Mytilus edulis: one gene and its partner. Each later gene encodes a partner of the first gene's protein in a complex. Links are inferred from orthologs where the notes say so. Each region holds a gene or a part of one and is shown on either strand. Other genes may lie near its edges.

Region 1 (7,762 bases):
AATGTAAATCATCTCTGATTTACCTGTTTGAACATCTCGCGAGAGTTCATATTTGCATATTGTTATTAAGAATTCTATTACAACAAAGCAGATTACATCATCTAAAATTTGCGTTACGAAATTGGAAACCAAAGTAATGCTAGTGTTCTTACACCTGCTACAGAAATACTTATAGTTCTCGGCATTTTCTTCTGACTATTCTTATTGGTCGATGTTCTTTATTATTTGAAAGCAAAAGTTACGAATTTGCCGGTGACGATTATCTATAAATCAGTCAGCGTTATGCACTTCGGAAGCGAAAAGTAACGCGAGAAACGACACAAAAATACTGTCATATAATCTTTGAAATTTGTTAATTTCAATTTTTTTTCTAGGGAAGAGTAGCATACACTTGTATGTTGATAAAAATAAAGGCATCTTTAGATGTAGTTACAACTTTTCTTACAGTAATACACATTTTTATCACTTTTCTATCGTTATAGGAAACGAGCCCAATAGCAAATTATGGTCCATTATATATGACGTCATATTTCTGCTGTTTCAGAAATTCAAATGTCTGCATGACGTAATATTGTGCCTTTTCACCATTTCGTTCGTATGTGACGTCATTGTTTACTTTTTGAGTTCAGGCCTGGTTTGTCACTGAGTCGGGCGTGTCTATTTTCTGTGTTGGTCTTCAATGTATTATGTATTCGGGTTTTGTTTTTTGTAATTAGTTAAGACGTCAGTTTTATCATGTAAATCTTTTATATTCATTTGATAAAATTCACTGTTTGCAATAGCATAAATTCTTCTATATAATAAGGATGTTCTTATCACAAGCAGAAAGCCCTAGCCGTATTTGGCACAACCTTTTTCAACTTTTGATCCTCAGAGCTGTACAACTTTGTACCCCACCCCCTTTTTTTGACTTTCCAACTTTTATATCTGGGCGTCACTGGTAATTCTTGTTTGGACGAGGCGCGTTTTTGACGTAATGAATTTTAAACCTGATGCCTTTTGTTATCTATTATTCATGTGTTTCTTTGCCTAATACGTTCTCCTATTTATTTGTATTGTAGTCCTGTATTATTATGTTGTCATTTTAATGTTATATTTAACAATGCCATCAAATGCGAGGTTTGGCATGCCACAAAACCAGGTTCAACCCACCATTTTTTTCTTTAAAAATGTCCTGTGGCCATTGTTATATCATAGTTCGTTTCTGTGTGTGTAACATTTTTACGTTGTGTTTCCGTTGTGTCTTTTGTTTTCTCCTATATTTGAGTGTGAATTCACATTACTATAAGACGTGTCACGGTACTTTTCTATCCCAAATTCATGTATTTGGTTTTGATGTTATATCTGTTATTCCCATCGGATTTTGACACATTTCCGAAACTTTAATCATGTTAATATGAATATATGTATTAAAAAGTAAATATTTCTAGATATTTCTCTTAGTTATATATTCAAACAATTGCCAACAAATTATTTGTGAATTTTTGTCCTGTGACTTTTTGTCCTACCAAATTTGTGACTTTATGTCCTGTGACTTTCTGTCCGTTTACCATAATCACCATACAATAATACAGGGGGTTTGTTCCGAATCCGGGTCCGTCCGCCCTGATTTCGGTTCGCCCTAGTTACTGTTCGCCCTAGTTCCGTTTCGCCCTGAGACCGTTCGCCCTGATTTTTATTTTTTATTATAGTGTTGTGTTGTGTGTATTTAATTGAATATGTTGAAGTCAGTCTACAATTTCGCCGAATATTTACGAACTATTGAGAACTAAGTTAGTATCTGCATGTAATTACGCTACTAGGAAATCACTATCACACATCCTTTAAGTTTTACTTTACATTTCCACACATGATTTGATCAATAAAAATGATACATTAGGAGCACTTAAGTTATACATAAGAAAGTGTTCAAAGTTCAAAGTGTTAATTGATCTAAAATTCTTTACTGCAGCAGCTGAACGTTGTCTAGTGGGTTGTCGGACGGCTTGTACAGTTTGGCAATAACTTTGTAAAAATTTTATTTGAGAAAAATGTTATTTTCATTATTATGGGGACGAAGTCCCCAATAACAGTAGAAAATTCAATAAAAAAAAAAATCGGGAAAATTTCCCGAATTTTTCATTGTTCTAATGAACTCAAAATCGTTCAAATTTTTTTTGTCGTGTTTTGAAATCCCGGACCTGCGCAGAAATGTATAATGTACTTCCTTTTTCCGGTCTCGTTAGTATGAAACTTTGAGTAAAATATATATTTATCAGTCTAGTATAAAATAGGAAGGAACGTGCAATACCAATTTCATTTTTAATAATTCCTTGATATGAAAAAACGTTACCTGATGATAGCGTTTCTTTGTTTACATTGCACATGACGTCATAATTTAAATAAAGTCACAACTAAATTCCTAACAACAGAACCAAAATCAGAAACGTTACGTATTTCCGTTTCTTTTTTTTAACAAATATTTAAGTTACAAAAAAATAATTCATACTGACTTCGTCCCCATTTACAGGTAATGCCTGCCTCATATTAATCCATCAAAGACAATTCATATAACAATCAGTGATATCAAAGATTTCAAATTATCAGCAATCAAAATTCAATCAACAGTAATTAAAAGTAATTTATTAAATATAAAATAAAGTGTAACAATGCAGCCAAGAATTTTATTTCATTAATATTCTGTATACATAAATTTTAATATATATAAATATATATTTCTTTCATTAATGTAACGTATCCATTGTACATATCATAAATGAAAATAGGGCGAACGAACCCAGGGCGAACGGATTACCAGGGCGAACAAACTCAGTGCGAACGAACCTAGGGCGAACGATCCCGATACCGTTTGTTCCCAACCTGTTTAGCTTGGTACGTTTTGTAAGATAGTCATTTTACTTAAAACATTATAGTGAGATAATTGGTGGTCTTATACCTCCCGTCTCGGGGCATTTTTATTTTTCTCTCCTTTCAAGCCTTTCTTTCAAGTGTGAGACGATGAAGACAACCAGCCAAACGTTTTTCCTTCAATGCTGTCATGTGAGTGCTTGTTATTTTTCACGAAACAGTCGGTGTGTTAAGCGTTCAACTGACTACCAAAAGCCTAATTGTCGTAATTATTTATTTTTTGTATTATGTATCGAAATATTTGCCCTTAAATTTTTATTTATCATAATTTTGAAAGTTTTTGAGCCATGATTGTAAAATATTAGATGAAATATAAAATCGTACACATGTTACGACATTTTACCGGAAACTGTTTCTCGCAGGCAGCACATGGTTTTGTTTTGAAACTTTCTCCACAAATTAATTTATCAGGTGACCATCTTCTTAATCATTATTTTAATCATTTTTCTTTGTAGGTTCCTCGAACTAAATCATAATTTTTTTTAACATTTAAAAAAGGAGGTGTTGCCAACAAGGCAGACCGAGTCAGTCAGAGATCACAAAAGAAGGCAGGTTGGATCTCCAATAGATGAATTATTATGGTGTAGCTGTACATTTTATAAAATCAATATTTTCTGTATCTGCAAATGACAACTCAAATAGATCAGGTCAAAATGCGGGACATACCTTTAAATTTTCTTTAAAAAAAATGTTGCATGACACCCCCCCCCCCCCCCCCCCCCCATTTTTTTGCTGCAATTTTGCATCACTTAGCCCCTCGACTATTGACAAAAAGGATATTTCCTACTATGGGTGTTAAAAAATCTGGAGGCAACACTGAGATCATGATATCCCTTATTCTACAATATTTACAGTTTGTTTTTATAGCTTTTCAATCTCTTGGTTGATGTTCCTGATCCTAAGGTCAATAATATTACTTTCGAGTTCATCCCTCACCGGAAAAAACTTGTCAATTATACACACCTTTATGACGTCATTTACCAGATAGAGGGTATGACCTGTATTCAATTCAATTCAAAATATTTTATTGTTCAAATATCAAATGTACATTTAAACAAAGGGATTGGACAAAAGGCAGTGCCTATACAAATCCTTTCCCATACAAGATGGATTGAAAAACATGCATGATAGTATATAATTTTCTGATAAGTTAATAGATAATGGTTGTTTTGAGGTATTAAAATGAAAATTCCCTAATGACAGCAGTGCTGATTGTCAATTTTGAGAATTCAATTTTCCGAATAATTTGTACAATATGAGAATTATAGTTTTCCAACCACTCGCTCAACATTGGAATGGAAGTGATGACGCCCCTAAACACTCAAATGACTTATTAAAACCGGACTTTTTGTCGAAAATGCATCGAACTCGAAAGTTGTCTATTAACAGTCAGGGGACTTACTTAAATGAGGGATTTTCTAAATCACTGATTCAAGTAACATTCTTTCCATAAAGGTTGAAAGTAAGAGTTGTCTTTCTTTAATAATCACCTATTTAAGTAGTACAAAATAAACACTAGAAGAAGTGATTTAATTTTACTGTAGCTTTAGATATAGAATACTAATGATCCAGGGACTAATTATGTTTCTTAACTTATCAGAACCAACATCTGTGTTGTCTAGGATCAGGGGCGGATGCAGGAATTTTCAAAAGGGGGGGTGCTAACCCAGGGCAAAGGGGGGGGTGCAGGGGGGGTGCAAAACATATGTCCCGATACAAATGCATTGATTGGCAAAAATAAAGGGGGGGTGCGCACCCCCGGAACCCCCCCCCCCCCCCTGGATCCGCCACGGAGGATGACCAGGTCATTTCAGGTGATGACCTTGTACTGAATCTAGGATAATGACATAAAAATCACTTGTTTAAGTATCATACCTCAATTTCCTTCCCAAAAATCACTTCTTTAAGTAGCATTATTTTAATAAAGGATTAACACCTACTAATTTCAACACCCCCGAACAGTGAAATTTTTATCGTGAACAGTAGAATTTTATTACATAATCTGAAAGATGAAACCTTGAACTTTACAGGAAAAATACTCCCACTGCTGGGGAAAATCTGTTAAGAAAGTATCAGTTCATTAGGCCAAAATAAAAAGATTGTATGTTTGCCCAAACGCGACCAACCCAAAATAAACCCGCCGACTCAAAATTTTTTTTGGACGTTTTTTTGAAGAATTTTTTTTTGAAGAATTTTTTTTGGGTCCGCTCCGTCATCGTACAAAACTTAATGTTAGTCGTCTTTGCGTTTGAAAGTAACTGAATAAGATTAAAAGAAAGCGTATAAAAGACGCAGTTAATCGATATTCGATGTTCTCTGTTTTTATCTTCTGATTTAACGAACGTAAAGAAGTAAAACATGTGAAGTGGCAGTTTTTTTTACGCTGTAGTTGTCTGTACTACCAAACCCTTACCTATATGCTCAATGTTAATTTCATCGTGTTATCGAATATCTGATAAGAATATTCAGGTAGATTTGTTCAAAACCATGTGCAATCGAATATTTTCAATGTTATTCTGACAGGAAATGGATCCGGAAAAGTTGCGAATTTACAATCTTGCAAGAAGATTTTGTTTTTACTGAATAAAAAAGAATTATTTCTTGATAAATTGTTGTCTTTAATTATAATCTTTCTTTATCATGTAAATTAGATGCCCTTTTATTCAAATAGTTCAAATTTACAAGTCTCATTAGACAAGATCAGTACGTTGCTGTTTGGGAGAATTTGATAAAACTATAATTGTTCACAGAATCAGAAATATAATCTTAACTGAATGTAACTCCCTCTGAATAATTTATTGCAATATAAATCCCTTTTGACAAGAGAAATCTGACTTTTGACAGAAATATTTTTTTCACATGTGCAAAAGTAAAAACATGTTATGGACGCCATATTGGATTTTTCTACAAATTTGTGAGGAAGCCTCTAGAACCATGACCTAAAAATAAATAGTCTTCAGAAAACGTTAACTTTATGCAATTATATTTTATCAATAATGATTATTTTCAAAAATTTAAACTTGATTATTTAAAGAAATAAAATTATAACAAATACGTTTTTAGTTTGGAGATTCTACAGAACATGCTTTGATCTATTTACCGGTATAGCCAAATTAGTTTACCTGTGTGATAATGTAAATACAAATTTGTTTTCAAAACATAAACAAGACACAAACTAAGGATGGTAGATAATAATTCATATAAATATTTTAATAGAAATAGGATTTAAAAACTGCAAACAAATTTAATCATTACATAATCAGCTGATATTTTTTTTACAAAAACATCGTGTTGATGGAACTGTTGAAAATCACTTCATAAATCCACCAGCCCTTTCACACAGCTAGCAATTGTCAGTGTTATAAACATCTCAGGATACAAATCATATAGTAGACTAATTTATTTATAGAGGTTTTAAATTCATGGCTTTTGGTTTTCTCTACAAAGGTTTGACGAAAAAAAAAAGATATACTGTTTTAAGATCTTTTAATATTTTCATGCAAATTCTGATAAAAAAAAAAAAAAAAAAAGAATTTGCCTACCTACCTACCCACACCCAGTCATCATGGGTCGGGTTTGGGCAAACTGAAATATTTTTAATTGTGGCCTTATGTAAAGCCATTATTATAGCATTTTTTTCAACTGAAATAGAATTGCAGCTAAATGATAGCATCAAAGGCATAAACCTTGATACTTAAAACAAGCAAAAAATTCATTTTTTTCAATTTTACTAATAAAAAGATATTATTTAAACCTATGTGTTTAAAATTTTGGTAAAACTACAAAATCACAATTTGTGACAAAACTTCGAATTTGCTACACAAAGTGATTTAAAAATCACCAAAGTGATTTAAAAATCACTTATTTCAGTTAGTCCCCTGACTGATTAACATGACCATGATGACATGTCTCTCTTGTACTGAATATTCCTCATATGGTGCACTATTTCTCATAAGTACGATGTTGATGTCCCACCATATTTCAGTGTGTTCATGGTGTTTGTCAGTCTTTAAGATTTTTTTTAGCAACAAATGTATTTTGACCTTTTGAGTGTGAAATAAGTCAAGATTATATTATGTTATAATTTGTTTTTGAATCTTTGATATTAACCATTTGTTAACCATGCTGTAAACTGAAGGTATACATGGTACCCATCAAAACAACATTTGATAGAAAAATTTAACAATACTTTTAGATATTTGGATGATATATTGGCTCTAAATAATGACGACTTCAGTATGTATACTAAAGAAATTTATCCTGTAGAACTTACTTTAAACAAAGCTAATGCTAACAATGACCACTGCCCTTTCCTCGATCTTGATATCTATATCATAAACGGGAAGCTTAATACAAAAGTTTATGATAAAAGAGATGATTTTTCATTTCCTATTGTTAATTATCCATTTTTAGATGGTGACGTTCCCTTGTCACCATCTTATGGTGTTTATATATCTCAACTTGTACGATTCGCTCGTGTATGTAACAATGTATTAGATTTTAGCGAGAGAAATTTATGTATTACTGAAAAATTATTACACCAGGGTTTTCGATATCACAAACTGGTCAAAACATTTACTAAATTTTATCACCGGTATAAGGAAATAATTCGTAAATATAACTCAACATGCAGACATCTTATACGTTCAGGTATTTCACATCCAAAATTTTATGGAAATATTCTTTATAAAGCACAAAAATGTCAGTATTCTCCTCAGAAACTAACAAAACCTTTAAATAGACTTATTAAAAGGGGATATAGTTACGATACTGTTGTCAGGTCATTAAAGATTGCATATTTTGGCTTTAACATTGATTCACTGATAGGGTCTTTGCATCGGAACTAAACACATTT
Region 2 (7,068 bases), on another chromosome or scaffold:
GGCACACCTTCTATCTGGTAAATGACATCATGAAGATGTGCAAATTGATGGTCTTTTCTGGTTAAAGACATGATTCCAGAAATGACTTATTGAGAGAGTCTAAATAATATAGAATTTGCAAGTATGTCAGATACTGTTTTTTTAAATCTTTTTTTTTTTTTTATATATGTAGAATGTTCATACCTCATTTGGATGCCTTTTGTGGAATTCTCTTAGCTGCTTAAGTCTAGTGTAGAACTCAGAAAACTCATTCGGTCCTGATAAGGACTGTACTTCTTCTTTTCTCATTCTGGAAAGAGAACAAATAAATATTAACTGGACCTCAAGAACCTATGTGAACAATAACTACAGTTACTACACTATCTTGGTGTACAACTCAACCAGTACATGCCAAAACTGAGACAGACTTTGATGGTTCTGCTGTTGTGAACAAATGTTTTATATGTGAAGTATCAGGCAAAGGTGTCTTTTTTATTATGCGAAAATAATGAAATAAGAGAACAAGATTGCTTATATCCACTTTTTGAACTATGGTTAATAGTTGTCTCATTGGCAATCATACCACATTACATCTCTTAATTCTTATTAGAAGAAATGTTGCTTTTATATCAATCCAATCAGGGTATTGTTTTCATTTCTTCAAATTGATGTTCCAACAGACACAGTAAAGAAAATTTCACCGTCAGTTTACAACATGCAAACTTTATGAAGGTCACTAAACATAACAATTGTGTATTCATAAATAAGATTCTACTAATTAATAATCTTTAAGTCTACAGTTAACACGACTAGCAAGCATTTAACTAAACTTTAAAATGTGTACTTCATGCATCTCATGTTCAGAAAATTCTATCACTCTCTCCATGTATATATATATCTATAATTATGAATATTTACCCATCTTTATCCTCATACAAATCCCCTAATTCTGTTGTACATTCTACATATCTCTGTAATGTAATGATATTCATCAAATAAAATAAGCTGCAATATATATATTTCTTGTACATGTTCATAAGACAATACTTTACAACTATTCATTTAAAGCACAAGACAAATATACAAACTATTTAAAAACAGAAAAATGTTTTTTTCTAAAATTTAACACCAAAAGAGAAATATGACTATGAAAGTTTTTATGATGTAGTTTAGACTCAATATAAATATGATTATATCATCCCAAATTCTTCATTTTTTTTTACCATAACTCAGGGATAACTATCTAAAACAATTGCCTCACAAGCCTGTTTTGCCTACTCTTTTCTAGACATGTGTATAATATACAAATGTATAACTGTGGGATTTTAGCTCCATATGGCATAGATGCCAACCCCCTTTTGACACAATCAGTAACAAACTATCAAATTTTCCGTATTTTTGAAAAGTTTTCAGTAATCATTCATAAACGTGCATTTACCAATAAAAATTACTGACGAGTGGTTACAAAGTGATGCACACTAAAATTTGTCATTTAACATGTTGTCTGAAGTATGTATTCCATTCATTAATTGTTCAGATGTTCTCGACTCAAACATTTTTGTTTTGTCAAGGAGAAGTAGAGAAAGGGGGAAAGCTACTTAATAAAATGCAAGTTTGCCTCTTCGGAAGTCAGTTAGTTACCCAACAATAGGTTGATAACTCCCGAGAAACCGGAAGCATTACATTGGCGTTTCCTAAATACTGGACCAGGACGGAAAAGTAATGATAAAAATCCGCGTTTTACAAAATTGAACGTCGATGATTGGGAATCCGTAACTATTCGACTTTGACCGTAATAGCGTAGTTTTTATCGCAAAATCGGAAAAACTACGGAAAAATCGTAATGGTTGGCATCTATGCATATGGTAAAACAACATCATGCAAATTCCCACTACAAATGACAACTTATGCATTTGATAAGAAAAGCACACAAGCTTTCGCTATATTAACTGTTTCAATAAATGTTTTAATTATCATTTTTACAGAATAAAAACTTGATCTTCTTGTAAAATTTCTGAGATGCATTTTTTTTTGCCATTCATTATCATTTATTACATGATTACTTACATCTAGTAGATGCCGAAGTCGCTGGTCTGAATTGATCTGTTCTCTACCCTGAAATAACATTATTTTAAATTTATAAAAATGACTGGCATGACTGGAAGCTATATTGTATAACAATTAACATAAATGTATTGACAAATAATGGAAAAAAATCACCCTCTGCTGCCAGTTGTTTTTCAAGGTTGCATTTTGTGTGCCAGAAAATATGACAGCTCGACATCTGTGACTTCAGATGTCAAGTAATGACGTCATTCGACAACAATTTCCAAGTAAACTATTGTTTGACAGATCAACGTAGAATGTAGATGTGAAAAAGACACAGCAATGAAGAGAAGATTTCATAAATTGAAACATGGCTATATGTGTCTGGTCAAGGATTTGTATAGTGAGACACTATAAAAATCCTTGGTCTGGTACATTCGGTGTGGACACATGTGTCCCTCGAGCAGCAATACACCTTATCGCTATTCCCGGCTGACCTGTCCGCTTGAACTTTTGACGTCAACAACAATCACTTTTCCATTGTGGCGTCAGACATTTTGTTTTATGACGTCAAAATTTTACGGGAACCTGTGTGATTTCCAGCAATGGCGGACAAATAGCGATAAGGTGTATAGGATTAAATTTGCATATGCATACATTTATGTTTAATTTTGAAGGAGTTTAATCATTATCATAACATTAACTTTTGATAATATATATTATTTGATTCAACTAACGGTATTGTTCTGATTCGTGTTCGCTGAAAATAATACATTGTTTTTCTTGGGTCAAATTGGTGAATTTGGGTGACTTGAAGTTGGAACATCATTGAACATTGACATGAAATGATTACAATTTACGTGATAAGTCCAACATACATTTTTGCTAGGTTGAAGCATTTCCTTGGTCATTGCATCTTGAAGTCGTTCTCTTTCTTCATGGTATCGTCGTTGTTGCTCAAGAAGTGTTTCCATATCGTTAAAATGAAATTAATTTGTCGATGCTAAAACGAAAATAGTTCGTCTTCATTAAAATATAGCTTCAGTTTCCCTATTGAAAACTAATTCCTTAAAACGCGTTACTGATTTCAAGATTGATGGAATCGCCTTTTTTCGTCCTACAATCTCGTCCCATCTCATAAAACGCTTTGATTAAATCAAGTATCACTAACAACCGACAAGAAACAACAAAAACAGGAATCAAATATGCACATTTTGTTTAAATTGGCAATCTGTACAATAAAAATATAAAGCTGTGTTTAGCCTTGACAGTATTGGGTTGTGCACAATGCTGGACACCGCATGCACATTTATTCTATGACTGGAACACTGTCTTTTGATCGCAATAGTGTCCACGCCATACTAATCTATAGAAATATCTCGTATTTGATAAAAGGCCAGTTTTGAAATTTCTGACTTTGTAAGTCAAAATGTTTTTTTTTATGAAGACTTGACTGTTAACTTTTGACTATGCCTTACAGTTCGCATCAACATCAACATGTTTTTTTTTTTAGATATTTTATAATTTGACCCAAAAGACCATCTGATCATACTGATGTAAGAGAATAACAAAGTTTCAAGTTGTATTGGCCAATCTTCATGGTCAAGAATATATAACCAAAATATTTCAACAACACACAGACTGCGGACAAGCAGCCGGGTAGTATACGTAGTCGGATCAGGGGAGGGGGGGGGAGGTTCTGGGGGCCGGCCCCCCTTTCGTGGGAAAAATTTGGTTGATTATATAGGGAATCACTGAAGCATGACTGGAGCGGCCCCCCCTTTTAGGTCAGTCAGCGGGCCCCCCTTATGAAAAGTTCTGGATCCGCCACTGGTATACACATTCAAAGGGAGAGGCACAGAAAATCAATGATTTGATGACGAAACGAGAACTTTTTACAGACAAATAGAATAGACAGTGTACAGAAAAGATATGGATGTGAATTTCAAAATATTCAAGAAGTTTAACGTATGAAAAGCATCAAATACAAAACAGCTGTCTCTATGCTGACTTTGGTGAACTTCTGTTGATGAGTTACTGTATCAGGTTTTTCAAAAATATTATAATGGCTGTTTAGGTCAATAAACTCATCATAGATACCAGGACTAAATTTTGTATATACGCCAGACGCGCGTTTCGTCTACAAAAGACTCATCAGTGACGCTCGAATCCAAAAATTAAAAAAAAAGCCAAATAAAGTACAAAGTTGAAGAGCATTGAGATCCAAAATTCCTAAAAGTGTTACCAAATACAGCTAAGGTAATCTATGCCTGAGGTAGAAAAGCCTTATTATTTAAAAAAATTCACAATTTTGTAAACAGTTAATTTATAAATATAACAATATCAATGATAATTCATGCCAGCACAAAAAGTGCTGACTACTGGGCTTGTGATACCCTCGGGGAAATAAATCTCCACCAGCCAGCTTCTGTTTACAAATTGATTTTGTATAAGTTTCACTTCCTAGTAACTCGATCACAAGTTATCAAATATTACGGATAAGTTTATTTATTTGTGGAATTAAATACATGTAATTCATACAGTCAATAAACATATTTTCCAAGTAAACTATTGCTGACATAACAACCTTATTTAGTTACAAACCAGATGTGTACCTGTTCTGGGTAATTTGGTTCGATCCTAAAGAGAAGTTAAAAAAAAAAGTTATACAATAAATGCATGTTTTCTCGTTTTCAAAAACTGAAACATATGCAAAGTATTTTACTTGTTGAACTTATAACGGTTGCACATATTTGCAAAGCAAAGTTCTGGAATTATGCGGAAGATGGCGACGGTCATTTTTTTCATAACGTTGAAATTGAGTTTCCCGCAAATATATTTGAGGATACAGCTTTGGAAACCCTACATGATTTACACGTCTTCCAGTGATGTTTGTTGCTTTTTATTCATCTTGATACTATCAATATAGTTATAAAATTGTTTTTTTTCCCCAGTGCATTTGAACTTCTGGAAGGTTTTCTCGATTATTATTAGGCTCTTCAAGCCCTATAAGACGATTTTATGGTATTACTGTATAGGCCATGAATAATATATTTTTAATTTTATTCTTTATAACATATGAGTAAACAACGCTTTTATTCCTTTTTTGAAGGATATGTTTTTTTGGGGGTCTATTTTCATTCACGACTGCATTCAGTTTCATTTCTATCAAACAGCATTAATAATTAATGTTGTTTTTAGTTTTTTTGTTATAAGGATTTTTTCTGTTACTTACTTAATTTTTTATTTGTGGCATTAGAATGATCATGACAGGAAAATTATATAGAAACTAATGTACCATGTCGATGCACCCCTAGTCTCACTCCTTTTGGGGTTCATGAGATATCCTCACTTATTTTGTTACTCTGGTGTATCAATCATCTTAAAATTGATTATGAGAATTGAACATTGGTACACTACTGTTGCCAAAAATTAGACATGATTGTGACGACTGAACGGTCATATATATAGGACACCTCATTGCTATTACATTATTTAATTAAAATTAAATATAACTTTAAGTAACATTAAATTCTTTTATGCAAATGTTTTCCACAACTGTTTTCTTTCATGGATACCACTCCCCCAACATAAACAAACATACGTTCTGCTCCTTTCCTCCTAATATTCAAAACATCTCAACTCAACACTAGACTATCCTCTCCAAAACCAGAGTCCTGTCTTCCCACAACGATAGCACGAGAGTTACCAGTAGAGTTGAGAGCCTCAGTTGCTTGGTTCTTTTCGACATTTGATTGGAGCATCATTGTCACGGTTACCCTGTGGAGTCATCTCAGGCACTATCATTTACTACTCCATTTTGGACTCCTAATCTGACTCTGTCTCATCAGTCTGTTTGATGCCTTCAGACGTTGTCAGTTGTTTTCCTTGTATGCTGTTCCTATAAACAACTTGTTGCAGCTGTATGATATAGCTATTCGGTTTATTACTAGTATCAATCGGCAGCTTTTAAAAAAGGTAGTAAAAGTTCCTGTGTAGCGTTTTCTTCTTTCCCTCTCCATTTTCATTCTGAATCAAATACACTGGGGTGTCGTTGTTAGGCTGTGTAACAACACGGTACGAGCCCTCTTACCACGTGTATGTAATCTTGTTTCCCGTCGTGACTACTTATCTGACAAGCACTCTGTCGCATGGTTGTAGAATGGCACCTCTAACTTTTTTGTTAATAAATGACTTCTGTCTATCTTAAGCTGTTCATGCATATCTTGATGCTAAATCATATTCCTTCTATAGTCGCTTTTACACGGCATCGACATACGTCGTTGCTGATTCTTTCTTGCCATTCATATCTTAACCCAGGCAAATGTCCACTGGTAATCTTGGTGGTCTACCAAAAATCAAAAAGTACGGTTAAAACCAAGTTGTTGTCTATCGAGTACAATTATATGTATTGGCGAGTCCAATGACACGCGACTTCCACTGTTTGTTGTTTCAATGGTACCAAGCTTACTGATCAGTGTTCGGTTGAAGCGTTTTGTCATGCTATTCCCCATAGGATGACATGCCGTGGTTCTTGACTTCCATTCCAGTGATGTGACATAATTCTGTGATGATGGTGAAATCTAAGCTAGTGCCTATGTTAGAGTGGATTCTCTTTGGCAAACCAAGTGAACAACAAAGTGGAAGAAGAAGAATTCGGCTGGTTTTTTCAATTTGGTTTATGGGTATTAATCGTGTTAACACGGGTCAAACTCTGTCCCCTTTGAAGAAATATCTTTATCAATGAAAATTTCAAGACACCATTTTCACCAAACGTAATCTCGATCTGTAAATCATCATAACAGACTCACACAAAGATAATCAGCTCAATATATGAAGGCGTTCAGAAAAAAATCGGTATAACTGATATTATTACGAAATTTTCTTGTCAAAAGCCCGTTTCCTATCGAAAGTCGGTGGGTTTTTTTTTCGGGCACTCCGACTTAATCCATCAATAAACTTACCTGAAACTTTGGCAATGTATTAACGGGGAAAATATGACAGACAGCAACCAACGACCACCACTGACCGGTTTTTCTCATT

What was found. The genes of interacting proteins can lie anywhere in the genome.
Region 2: probable ATP-dependent RNA helicase DDX46 (region 1) and splicing factor 3A subunit 3-like share a complex: the UniProt entries of both Homo sapiens proteins name them as parts of the 17S U2 SnRNP complex. The link is inferred for Mytilus edulis from reciprocal best matches to the Homo sapiens genes DDX46 and SF3A3.

Annotation. Positions count from the first base shown.
Region 1 is NC_092352.1:81,864,634-81,872,395, reverse strand, and holds the start of probable ATP-dependent RNA helicase DDX46, read right to left. Parts: upstream 3,067-7,762; 5' UTR 2,953-3,066; coding exon 2,936-2,952; intron 1-2,935. UniProt on the Homo sapiens protein: Component of the 17S U2 SnRNP complex of the spliceosome, a large ribonucleoprotein complex that removes introns from transcribed pre-mRNAs.
Region 2 is NC_092353.1:19,795,244-19,802,311, reverse strand, and holds the start of splicing factor 3A subunit 3-like, read right to left. Parts: upstream 3,088-7,068; 5' UTR 3,000-3,087; coding exon 2,904-2,999; intron 2,095-2,903; coding exon 2,047-2,094; intron 951-2,046; coding exon 898-950; intron 290-897; coding exon 184-289; intron 1-183. UniProt on the Homo sapiens protein: Component of the 17S U2 SnRNP complex of the spliceosome, a large ribonucleoprotein complex that removes introns from transcribed pre-mRNAs.